Saccharomyces cerevisiae S288C: one gene and its partner. Each later gene encodes a partner of the first gene's protein in a complex. Each region holds a gene or a part of one and is shown in the gene's direction. Other genes may lie near its edges.

What was found.
Region 2: the proteins of RRP43 (region 1) and CSL4 are in contact, whole or in part, in a cryo-EM structure (PDB 5G06), measured with the Saccharomyces cerevisiae proteins. Residues at the interface, in NP_009964.2 of Saccharomyces cerevisiae: Leu7 (codon at 4,550), Ile10 (codon at 4,559), Glu11 (codon at 4,562), Ile12 (codon at 4,565), His13 (codon at 4,568), Pro14 (codon at 4,571), Ile15 (codon at 4,574), Thr16 (codon at 4,577), Phe17 (codon at 4,580), Pro18 (codon at 4,583), Glu20 (codon at 4,589), Val21 (codon at 4,592), Arg24 (codon at 4,601), Ile25 (codon at 4,604), Ser26 (codon at 4,607), Glu28 (codon at 4,613), Leu29 (codon at 4,616), Gln32 (codon at 4,625), Arg33 (codon at 4,628), Arg138 (codon at 4,943), Gly139 (codon at 4,946), Arg140 (codon at 4,949), Arg222 (codon at 5,195), Glu305 (codon at 5,444), Cys306 (codon at 5,447), Leu308 (codon at 5,453), Glu337 (codon at 5,540); in NP_014167.1 of Saccharomyces cerevisiae: Leu140 (codon at 2,162), Leu156 (codon at 2,210), Ala185 (codon at 2,297), Phe188 (codon at 2,306), Ser189 (codon at 2,309), Val190 (codon at 2,312), Ser191 (codon at 2,315), Ala193 (codon at 2,321), Asp196 (codon at 2,330), Leu197 (codon at 2,333), Gly198 (codon at 2,336), Glu199 (codon at 2,339), Ile229 (codon at 2,429), Arg231 (codon at 2,435), Val255 (codon at 2,507), Phe256 (codon at 2,510), Arg258 (codon at 2,516), Gly265 (codon at 2,537), Leu266 (codon at 2,540), Tyr268 (codon at 2,546), Ala269 (codon at 2,549), Thr270 (codon at 2,552), Asp271 (codon at 2,555), Trp272 (codon at 2,558), Pro278 (codon at 2,576), Val279 (codon at 2,579), Ala289 (codon at 2,609), Lys290 (codon at 2,612), Pro291 (codon at 2,615).

Annotation. Positions count from the first base shown.
Region 1 is NC_001135.5:190,713-197,549, reverse strand, and holds RRP43 (exosome non-catalytic core subunit RRP43), read left to right. Parts: upstream 1-4,531; coding exon 4,532-5,716; downstream 5,717-6,837. Other genes in the region: PHO87 (SPX domain-containing inorganic phosphate transporter), read left to right, coding at 365-3,136; RBK1 (putative ribokinase), read right to left, coding at 3,252-4,253; fatty acid elongase ELO2, read right to left, coding at 5,915-6,837.
Region 2 is NC_001146.8:213,179-218,169, forward strand, and holds CSL4 (exosome non-catalytic core subunit CSL4), read left to right. Parts: upstream 1-1,744; coding exon 1,745-2,623; downstream 2,624-4,991. Other genes in the region: BNI4 (Bni4p), read left to right, coding at 1-1,422; PDR16 (phosphatidylinositol transporter), read right to left, coding at 2,809-3,864; ELA1 (elongin A), read right to left, coding at 4,345-4,991.

The DNA of each region.
Region 1 (6,837 bases):
TTAGTACTGAAAATTAAGAATACTTGCATAACTACAGTAGATAATATTTTTTGATAAGAAACCAGACGTAAATTAGATGTAATCTTTTACAGATATTACAGTCAACTTAATCAATTACCTAAAAAGGTTTAAGATTGTGCATAGGAAACGTTTCAATTACCGTATCTTTAGGCTACCGCCTCTTTCTTATTTTCCCTTACCCTTTTTTCAATCTAATTAATTGATGATTTCGCACGTGGGAAAAGTAATCCGATGCATTGAAAAATTATTACCAGAAAACAGTGTTTCACACCAAAAAAGCAGTCAGCTCTCAGATAAAGGTGCAGCAAAACTACGGTAAAGGCGGCTATTATTGTGCCTCGAAATGAGATTCTCACACTTTCTCAAATACAACGCTGTCCCTGAATGGCAGAATCATTACCTAGATTATAACGAATTGAAAAATTTGATCTACACATTACAGACAGATGAATTGAAACAAGAAACGCCAACCGGTGACTTAAACGATGACGCTGACTCTCAGACTCCAGGTCCAATCGCTGATATAGAAAGCAACATAGCTGCAGGAGAACCATCTTCATCGAAAAGAAGATTTACACATAAACTCAAGCGTAAGCTCTTTGGTTCTAAAACACCTTCAGGAAGCAAAAGGGGAGACTCCGACGAAAAGGCCATAGATGGGAACAATATTAACGAGGAAACAATTGAGTTAGACGAGTTATCTCCTCAAGGGAAAACCACCTCTTTCAATAAGAATTTTATACGTAAGAAATTCTTTGAATCACGCAGCTCATCTGTGAGTAGCGAGGGAAAGACGCTCTTCAGTTCTTATGATACATTCGTAACTAACCTGAGCGACGAGAAATTGAAAGTAGATGATTTCTACAAAAGAATGGAAGCTAAGTTCTATGAAAGATTTGACCACTTGATTAATGATTTGGAGAAGGAAGGCATTGTAACAAGATTGAATGAAACTTTCAATCCTGAAATTCAAGCATTGCCTCCTTTAAGAGAAATTATTTCTGGTACATCAGAGACACATTCATCTAATAACCCATTTGAAATACACTCTTCAAACATCGACAGTGAATTGAGAAATAGGTTTGATTACAGCGAAGAAGAAATGGATGAAGATGATGACGTTGACGTGTTTGCTGACACTACCGACAATACCGCCCTCTTGAATTATTCGCAATTTAACATTAAATCTCAGAAAAAGTCATTATTAAAACAGACAATAATAAATCTTTACATAGACCTTTGCCAGTTGAAATCTTTTATCGAATTGAACAGAATGGGTTTCAGTAAAATTACTAAGAAGTCTGATAAAGTATTGCACATGAACACTAGGCAAGAATTAATAGAAAGTGAAGAATTTTTCAAAGACACCTACATCTTCCAGCATGAAACTTTAAGCAGTTTAAACAGTAAAATTGCACAACTTATTGAATTTTATGCTGTTCTCATGGGTCAGCCTGGGAACGTAGATTCATGCAAGCAAGAGTTAAAGTCGTACCTGCACGACCACATTGTTTGGGAAAGAAGCAACACATGGAAAGACATGTTGGGCCTCTCTTCGCAAAATAACGATATAATAACTATTGAAGATGAAGCTGAGAAACTTATGCAAGAAAAGCTTCAAATTGAATATTTCAAGTATCCATTGCCTAAGCCAATTAATTTGAAGTTTACTAAAATTGAAAATTTGGCAGTTCCTAAGCTATTTTTTGGGAAAAGAGCAATGAAAATAGGCTTCATTATCATTGTCACAGGTGTTTTGTTGGGTGTTAAAACTTTCAATGACCCTGTCGAACACCGGTGTATGGCATTGGTAGAATGCTGTGCTTTCTTATGGGCTAGTGAAGCCATTCCATTACACATCACAGGTTTATTGGTTCCCCTTCTAACTGTCCTTTTTAGGGTACTAAAAGACGATGACGGTAAGGTAATGGGAGCAGCAGCTGCCTCTACAGAAATCTTAGGTACAATGTGGTCGTCAACAATTATGATTTTATTAGCAGGTTTCACATTGGGTGAAGCCTTGTCGCAATATAACGTTGCGAAAGTTTTGGCATCGTGGTTATTGGCCCTTGCAGGTACCAAGCCAAGAAATGTCCTTTTAATGGCAATGAGTGTTGTATTCTTTCTTTCGATGTGGATTTCCAACGTTGCCTCCCCAGTATTGACATATTCTCTATTAACACCCTTACTAGATCCGCTGGACTACACTTCACCGTTTGCTAAGGCATTAGTCATGGGTGTTGCACTTTCGGCAGATATTGGTGGTATGGCTTCACCTATTTCTTCGCCACAGAATATCATCTCCATGCAGTACTTAAAACCTTATGGAATCGGCTGGGGGCAATTTTTTGCTGTCGCTCTGCCTACAGGTATTCTATCGATGCTGTGCTCCTGGGCCTTGATGATACTCACCTTTAAAATAGGCAAAACTAAACTGGAAAAATTTAAACCAATAAGGACCAGATTTACTATAAAGCAATATTTTATCATCATTGTAACTATTGCTACTATTCTTCTATGGTGTGTAGAGTCACAAATAGAAAGTGCTTTTGGATCGTCCGGTGAAATTGCAGTAATACCGATAGTCCTGTTTTTTGGTACAGGTCTACTATCAACAAAGGATTTCAACACATTCCCTTGGTCAATTGTTGTTCTTGCTATGGGTGGTATAGCCCTTGGTAAGGCAGTTTCATCTTCAGGCTTGTTGGTAACTATTGCAAGAGCATTACAAAAGAAAATTCAGAACGATGGTGTTTTTGCTATCTTATGTATTTTCGGTATTTTAATGTTAGTTGTGGGCACTTTTGTCTCACATACTGTGTCAGCAATCATCATTATTCCCTTGGTGCAAGAAGTTGGTGACAAATTATCCGATCCAAAGGCAGCTCCAATTCTTGTGTTCGGTTGCGCCTTGTTAGCCTCATGCGGTATGGGGTTGGCTTCATCTGGATTTCCAAACGTTACTGCTATTTCTATGACCGATAAAAAGGGTAATAGATGGCTAACTGTAGGCGCTTTTATCTCCAGAGGTGTTCCTGCTTCGTTGTTAGCGTTTGTCTGCGTAATTACTCTCGGTTATGGTATTAGTTCTTCCGTCTTAAAAGGTAGCACTTAAACTGCCCTCATGTAATTACATTTCTTATTACTGCATTCTTTGTACCTTTTTAAACTTTATATATATGACGAAAACTAAAATTTAACAAACTAAAAGTAAAAAATTGCAGTAGATTTTATGCATCTTTCTGAACATCTTTATACAGTGGCATGCTTTCAGCAGCACCTTTTCTTTGAATGGTCAATGAACTAGCTAATGTAGAGAACTTTATAGCCGTAGACAAGGTCTCTCCTTGATACAATTGAGTAACCAAACCGCCCAGGAAAGTATCTCCAGCTCCTGTAGTATCAACAACCGAAACATTTTGAATAGCCGGAAGGAATTGTACTTCAGGGCTTTCGTGCGAACAGAAAAGCACCCCTCTCGAACCCAAAGTCATAACCACAATTCCTCTTTTCTTTCGATTCATGAGTTTTTCATACAAAAGCTCACAAATTTTACGATATTCTCCTAAAAAGTCGTCCTTTATCTTCTCCCTTATTTCTTCAACAAGTTCATTATCAAATACACTTTCCACGATTTGAAGACCCTCAATTTCATTAACGACCAAAAGGTCTACCAACTCCCAATCTTTCTTAGGCATGGCCTTGAAAGGTGAGGGGTTATATACGATCTGAAAATTCGGCCTGTTCGCATGTATCCATTTAATAATGGAAAGAGGATCAGGAATTTCGTGTTGAAAAACAACATACTCTTCTTCCTCCTTGCCCTCTGGAAAAATTTCACACAACTGTTTCGGGTCATAAATAGTCTTGCTGTTAGCACCTTCTACAATCAATATCCTATTTTGGCCACCAGCTTTCTCTTCAATTAGTATGGTAGCGGTACCCGTATTAATGCCTTCGTAAGTACCGACGTGAGTGATATCGACTCCGCAATCGGATAAAGTGTCCTTCAATTGTTTACCAAATGTATCATTTCCAACATTACCAATCATTCGAACACTATATCTGCTGCTGGGGTTTTTTAATTTACCAATGGCCGCAGCTTGGTTCAATCCCTTACCACCAGCATGTGTTTCGAAGTGGTTAGCCCTGAAAGTTTCTCCAGCGTTAGGTAATCTATCCGTAAATGTGTCCAAATCATAGTTTAGAGAACCTATTACTGTAATACCCATCTTTGAAATATGCTGTTGGAACTTTGGGATGAAAGACAACAAACATCTTATTGGCTATTTTTATCCTATTTGCTTCATGATTGTTCTGGCCACCTTCGGATATAAACCCTTTTATTCCCGTTTGATCTGGAGAGATTTTCAAATCACAGTCGACGAAAGTATAAGATTTTTCTTTCTTTTTTTATGACAGAGTATATAACAATAATGGACAAATTAGACGATGAGTATTGTTACACAAATAAGTTTGACAGTAGTTTCACAGGCATCTAATATTGGAAATGGCTGAAAGTACCACGTTAGAAACTATTGAGATACACCCAATTACTTTTCCACCTGAAGTTCTTGCGAGAATATCTCCAGAATTGTCTTTACAAAGACACTTATCCCTAGGAATCAGGCCATGTCTAAGAAAATATGAAGAATTTAGAGATGTTGCTATAGAAAATAATACTTTATCGCGTTATGCGGATGCTGGTAATATAGACACTAAAAACAACATTTTAGGCTCAAATGTTTTGAAAAGTGGGAAAACCATAGTCATAACTTCTATTACGGGTGGAATAATAGAAGAAACTAGCGCCGCGATTAAAGATTTGGATGATTTCGGTGAGGAAGAATTGTTCGAAGTGACCAAAGAGGAGGACATAATTGCAAATTATGCTTCTGTCTATCCGGTGGTGGAAGTTGAAAGAGGTAGAGTGGGCGCTTGCACCGATGAAGAAATGACTATATCACAAAAACTACACGATTCCATATTGCACTCTAGGATATTGCCTAAAAAAGCCTTGAAGGTAAAAGCTGGTGTTCGTAGTGCGAATGAAGACGGTACGTTTTCCGTCTTGTATCCCGATGAATTAGAAGATGATACGCTGAATGAAACAAACCTGAAAATGAAAAGAAAATGGTCATACGTTTTGTATGCGAAAATTGTAGTCTTGAGTCGCACTGGTCCAGTCTTCGATTTGTGTTGGAATTCTTTGATGTACGCTTTACAGAGCGTAAAGTTACCTAGAGCATTTATAGATGAGCGTGCGTCCGATTTAAGAATGACTATAAGAACAAGAGGAAGAAGTGCCACCATAAGAGAAACGTATGAAATTATTTGCGACCAAACTAAGTCAGTACCGTTAATGATAAACGCAAAGAATATTGCATTTGCTTCAAATTATGGGATAGTGGAGTTAGACCCCGAATGCCAATTACAAAACTCTGATAACTCTGAAGAAGAGGAAGTGGACATTGATATGGATAAATTGAACACTGTGCTAATAGCAGACCTAGATACTGAAGCGGAAGAAACAAGTATACACAGTACGATCTCCATCCTCGCTGCTCCTTCAGGTAACTATAAGCAATTAACATTAGTGGGAGGAGGCGCTAAAATAACGCCAGAAATGATAAAAAGATCATTGTTGTTATCTAGGGTTAGAGCGGACGATTTGTCAACAAGATTTAACATATAAAAGACTCGGATAAAATTATCTGATGACTGTCGAAAGGAAACGGAAAACTTTTTTCAACGATAACATGTGTATGTAATATATAACAAAACCATCCGGTCTTTTACAATATAATAATAGTGATAATAGTAACAATAGATCCACTAAGAAAAAACGAATATACGAAAGTTGAATACTTAAATTCTTTCAAAGATTTTACACTTACCTTTTTCTTCTGTGTTGAGGTTTTGGTGATGGAGATGGAGTAGGAACGTTTTTCAAGTCAACGTTAACATACTCATTAACCTTTGCGGCAACACCGCCGTGGGCACGCTTTACCACTCTACTGGTTTTGGTGCCTTTACGTTTATAAACGTTAATGTAAAATGAAATAAATAGTACCAAATATGAAGAAATAATGGCACAACCTGCAAAGGTGGCAGTTGTTGAACCCACACAGTCACCACAATGTGGCAAAATTGGGAAATACAAGTGAACTGCTTTTTGGTAGACAGCAAAATATATGAAACCGATATCCAAAACAAATTGGATAATTTGAAATCTGGTAACCCATTCCTTCCACCAGACCCTGATGCCTCTGGCAGCCAAGAAATAGTACCAATACATAACCACGTGAACACCAAGGTTCAATGAAATAGGGACCCAAGAAATAGATGTGGTGCCCATCAATTGGGTGTAACATAATAAGGCAGTAGCGCCATGGTGATAAGTATGCAAAAATGTCAATTTTTTATGTTTTAGCACCAAGAAAAAGGTGTCTATAAATTCAATAAACTTGACAATGTAATTCATGTAATATAATGTAACGAGCGGTTGAGTCCAAGCACCAATATTACAGATAGCGAAGTATAACCCGTGCTGAACAATAATTGGCACTAATTGTTCAACCATAAGCAATAAAAGCGTCAATGAAAGTGAAGTTAAAACCAAATTATGCAATTGGAAAAGGCCATTTAATTTAAATGGTTTCGACTTACTTAACAAAAACCTGCCACCAAAAATAATAACGTAATAGGCAGTGATGGCGTATAGCACAGGGGGCAAAGTGCTTAATGGTAATTCACCTGCAATGAATTGGAATTCGCTTGGAACAAATCTACCGTTAGTTACACGAGTGACGACAT
Region 2 (4,991 bases), on another chromosome or scaffold:
TCAATTGATCAGAGAAAACCTACTCCTTTAAACATGGATCTCATATTGGGAGGTGATAAACAGATAAATACCCCGCTACAAGAACACGTAAGAGAAGATGATGATGCCAAAAATGATCTTCAATTACCAACCAAGGATAATTTTTTATCACTGGACTACGAAGCACCCTCACCAGCATTTTCCAAACACGATACAGGTGAGGTTCTTTTCCCAAAATTTTTGGATAATCATGAAGTCGACTCGATCGTTTCTTTAGAAAGAACAAGATCTACAAAGTCTAACAAGAGAAGTTCAATGAACTCGCAAAGAAGGTCATTGACAGATACGCTATCGATCAAAGCGCAAAGTGAGGGAATGTTCATCACTGAGGCATCTTCTGTTGTATTATCTACTCCAGACTTGACGAAGTCTCCTGCTAGCAGCATTTTAAAGAATGGAAGGTTCGAATACTCAGATAATTTCTCCAGAGAACACTCTTACGAAGGTACCACGAATGAGGACTTTTTAGATATCAAGGACGATAGTGGTCCACTAAAAAAAGATGACATATTTTTAGAGTCTATTGAACAAAAATTTGACCAGCTAGTGATGGCCTCTGATGAAGAAAAAACTGAAGTTGAAAGGGATGTACCAAAACCAAGAGAAGAACCTCTGAAGAAGGATTCTGAAAGGCAAAGCGTTTTTGCAGATGATGATAACGAGTTAATTTCTGATATAATGGAGTTTGCAAGTTTTATTAACTTCGGTGATGATGATCTCAATCTAGACCTAGACTTGGGAGATACAACGGCCTCATATGCAACAGAAACCCCTGAACCTGTTGGAAATGATGAAGTAAATCGCTCTGGTACTTTTGATACACGAAATAACAAAGAGGATAGTTACAAAGAAAGAGAAACTCAATCTTATTCCGCTGCTGGAGCTACTACATACGGAGATGAGCGTCAAGGTCAATTACATACATTTGAACAAGACGGAAGTGAAATAAATGACAACGAATTTGAGAATGAAGATTTCAACAAACACATAGAACAGCCCATAGAAGTTACTCCAAGAAATAATGCATATTTACCAGAATTCGAACCCAATAGACCTGTTTCAATGTCCTTTAAAGGACTAAAAGCCCCAAGAATGAATACTTCTTTTATTGACTCCATGACGCCTGATTCTCCCGTAAAATCAGACTTAACAAGTCTAGGTGAGGTGTATGTAAACAGTAATAATGACCAGGGTGTCCGGTTTTCGTCCCAGATAATACTTTACGACACTTATGGAGAATTCGAATATGATAGACATCCAGAAATTTCCACTTGTAACCAGCTTACTCCACAACTGGCTCAAATGATCAAATTGGAATTAAATGAGTTAAAGAGCGCAATGGAAGTACACGATGATTCGCGATGTTACACACATTTTTATTAGAGCAGAAAACTGGGAGAAATGGAAATGAATCAAATCATACATATCAAGACATTCTAGTTTTTATAAACCTATAATTTATCGCAAGAATCTTGGGTGTTATGTGTTGTATTTGCGGCATCATTTCAAAATACCGTCTGCATTACCCGTCTCCGTCACGTGAAGTAAAAATTTCCAAAAAATATTGAAAAAAGAAAGAAAAATAAGATCCAGAATTCACTGATGATGAGCTTATGGTACGGCATGATTAACTACGCATTTGTATATTAAAGATTCTTTGATTTTTTCCAGAGCATTGAATACCTCAATCTATAAGTGTATTATAATGGCATGCAATTTTCAGTTTCCAGAAATAGCTTATCCAGGTAAACTAATATGCCCACAGTACGGTACGGAAAATAAAGATGGCGAAGATATAATTTTCAATTATGTGCCCGGTCCCGGAACTAAACTAATTCAATATGAACACAACGGACGAACTTTAGAAGCTATAACTGCTACACTAGTTGGGACAGTGAGGTGTGAGGAAGAAAAAAAAACTGATCAGGAAGAAGAGCGTGAAGGCACTGATCAATCTACAGAGGAAGAAAAATCAGTAGATGCATCACCTAATGATGTCACAAGAAGAACTGTAAAAAATATTCTGGTTTCAGTGCTTCCTGGGACAGAAAAGGGTCGTAAAACCAACAAATATGCTAATAATGATTTTGCCAATAACCTACCGAAGGAAGGTGATATTGTGCTGACCAGGGTGACAAGGCTTTCGTTGCAACGAGCCAATGTCGAAATTTTAGCTGTGGAAGATAAACCATCTCCAATTGATAGTGGCATCGGCAGTAATGGATCGGGAATAGTCGCTGCTGGTGGCGGTTCTGGAGCAGCTACGTTCTCTGTTTCTCAAGCATCATCAGATTTAGGTGAGACATTCAGAGGTATAATCAGGTCTCAGGATGTACGGTCTACAGACAGAGATCGTGTGAAAGTGATAGAATGTTTCAAGCCGGGAGATATTGTTAGGGCGCAAGTTTTATCATTAGGTGACGGAACCAACTACTATTTGACCACTGCAAGGAATGACCTTGGGGTCGTGTTCGCCAGAGCTGCTAATGGTGCTGGTGGATTGATGTATGCTACAGACTGGCAAATGATGACTTCACCGGTTACAGGCGCTACAGAAAAGCGCAAATGTGCCAAACCTTTTTGATATGTAACAGCTTATCTACAGTGCATATAGACGCGTATATATTTAAAAGAGGGTATTCGCTTCTTCTTCTTTAGATTGCATTCTTTGATGGTTAGGAAAAAGAAGCGGGAACGTGATTAAACTTTTTATTCTCTTTTATTTATTATATATTATAGTGCATTATCATTATCTATCTAAATTTGCCTTTACACGGTACTGCTTTCCGATTTTACTGGGTAAAGAAGTTTTTCATGAGTACCTCTTAAATCAACCTCACTTAAACCTACAATACCACCGAAGCTTTGAAACCTCTTAAAATAATGATCTCTTTTTTCACGCGCGGTTTCCACCAGAGCTGGCCAATAAACATCATGATTGTACTTGAATTTCAGATCACCACCATACAACGAATCTAGTTCGTTCTTAGGGACATATTTAACAAATGGTTCATCAAAAACTAGCTTTTCACGGGTCAGTGGGTCAATAAAAGGGTGAATTAACTTCAAGAAAGTCCATGCTAACCAAGGAATATTCGTCAAAAGTGCTTTTCCTAGTCTTTCTGGATAATGAGTTTGTAGAATATGCAGCACTTCTTTCCCTACACCAATAGGTGGGATTTTACTATTGCCAGGTACTTTAGGAACATCAGGGTAATCTTTAAAGTCTATTAGCAAAGCTAGAGAGTCTTGACCAGCTGGCATAAAATCGATAACTCTTTCCAACATGAAGACCAAGTGCTGTACCTGTCTGTGAGAAGTCTTTGTATTTTGTCTGCCCGGTTTCAAATATAAGATAGGTCTAGCATCGTTTTCGTAACCCAAAATCACCTGCTTACCTGATTCGTTCTCGACGGCCACCAAGTCAGCAGTTATTTTATCACCATGCTCTTCACCTAAATGACTAATACCGAATTCTCTTCTCCACGCTAGAGTCATGGTGATTCTATCGATACAGTCTTTTAGCACCCATTTAGTAGCCCTTAGGTAACGTAAAAAACATTCTCTTGTCAACCATGCCTTTTCTTCTTCCTCTAAGGGTTTAAGATCATCCTCCGACTTATTTTTTTCACTTGTATAAACCTTCAAGTCAGGGTTACTGAAATGTTTTAGCACTTCGTCATACATTTTTTGTTGCTCACCTGTAAGTGGTTTTTCTTTTGGAATAGCTATCGAAGCAGGAAGTTCTTTGATAGGCTTATCAATATTAATCAAATTTTTTGGGTCTTCTGGAGCCTCCTTCTTTTTGCTAAATCTCTTGAACATTTTTTGCTTTTGTAATTTTTTTTATATAAAGTGGTTTTGTATTATTTGTTGGATGGAGAGAAGGGAACAGTTAGAAACAAAATAAGGATTGAAATATTTTTCTAACGAAGAAGTGGTATTAGTCTATCTAGAACTGATATATATACATACATATATATATATAAATATATATATATTCAGACAATGAGCACAATATTGTGCATGTACAAGAGTGGGATGCGCATATAGTGCATGAACCTATTGCGATAAAGATCTGGCAATATATAGAGAGATATATCGCATGCTTGCACTCAAATAGAGTCGGGTGGAATGAAAAAAATCATAAAAATTACTAAGACGGAAGACAAAAAGATGACGCGCAACGCGAAAATCGCTTATAAGCAGGGATGCCGTTGCTTCCGGTTGCTTTCTTTCTCCGCGGAATGACTGGACCCGTGGGAAATCGCAGGGGATGTGACGGCCTTCGGAGTTGGGTTACTGCTATTTCCGTGGCTCATAGATATACGGACGGGTAGTAGGGCCGGTTGCGGTCACGTGCGGAAAACTATCTCCGTCAGATCCGGCATTTCGTACGAAAATTCCGGATTTCTTCTTCTTGTGGCCCTTTGTTACGGGATTTGCGGTGACACTTGATATTGAAGTTACAACATCTTTGTGGGGATAAGGATGAGAAGTAGTACGGTGATCGTTGGTGATCGCTGTTGTATGGGGTCGAGAACCTGCAGCGTTTGTCTTCGGAGTAGGCCTGAATAGCGCAGGTTTTTTACGATTGAGAAAGATTGACGGTGATTCGGATCTTCTCTTCTTCACCGGCGTGATGGGCTGCGTAACATCTTTCTTCTCTGCTGTGACATTATCCATTTGACGATTTACCTTAACAGGCTCCGGTTTGATGGACAATGGGCCTTTCTTGGGGGAAGACGATTGTCCGCCCGCTTGGCCACCAAAGGCCACACGTTGCGCATGCCTTTTTGCAATGTTGAATCCGCCGTCTTTGAAATGCTTTAGTCTGGACTCGTGATCTTTCAACGATTTCATGTATAATTGCGAATGGGGTTCGTTGTGCAACCTTGTAGTCTTCTTGGTGTTTCTCTTTTTGAAGTAAACAGTGTGGTCAACCACTATGG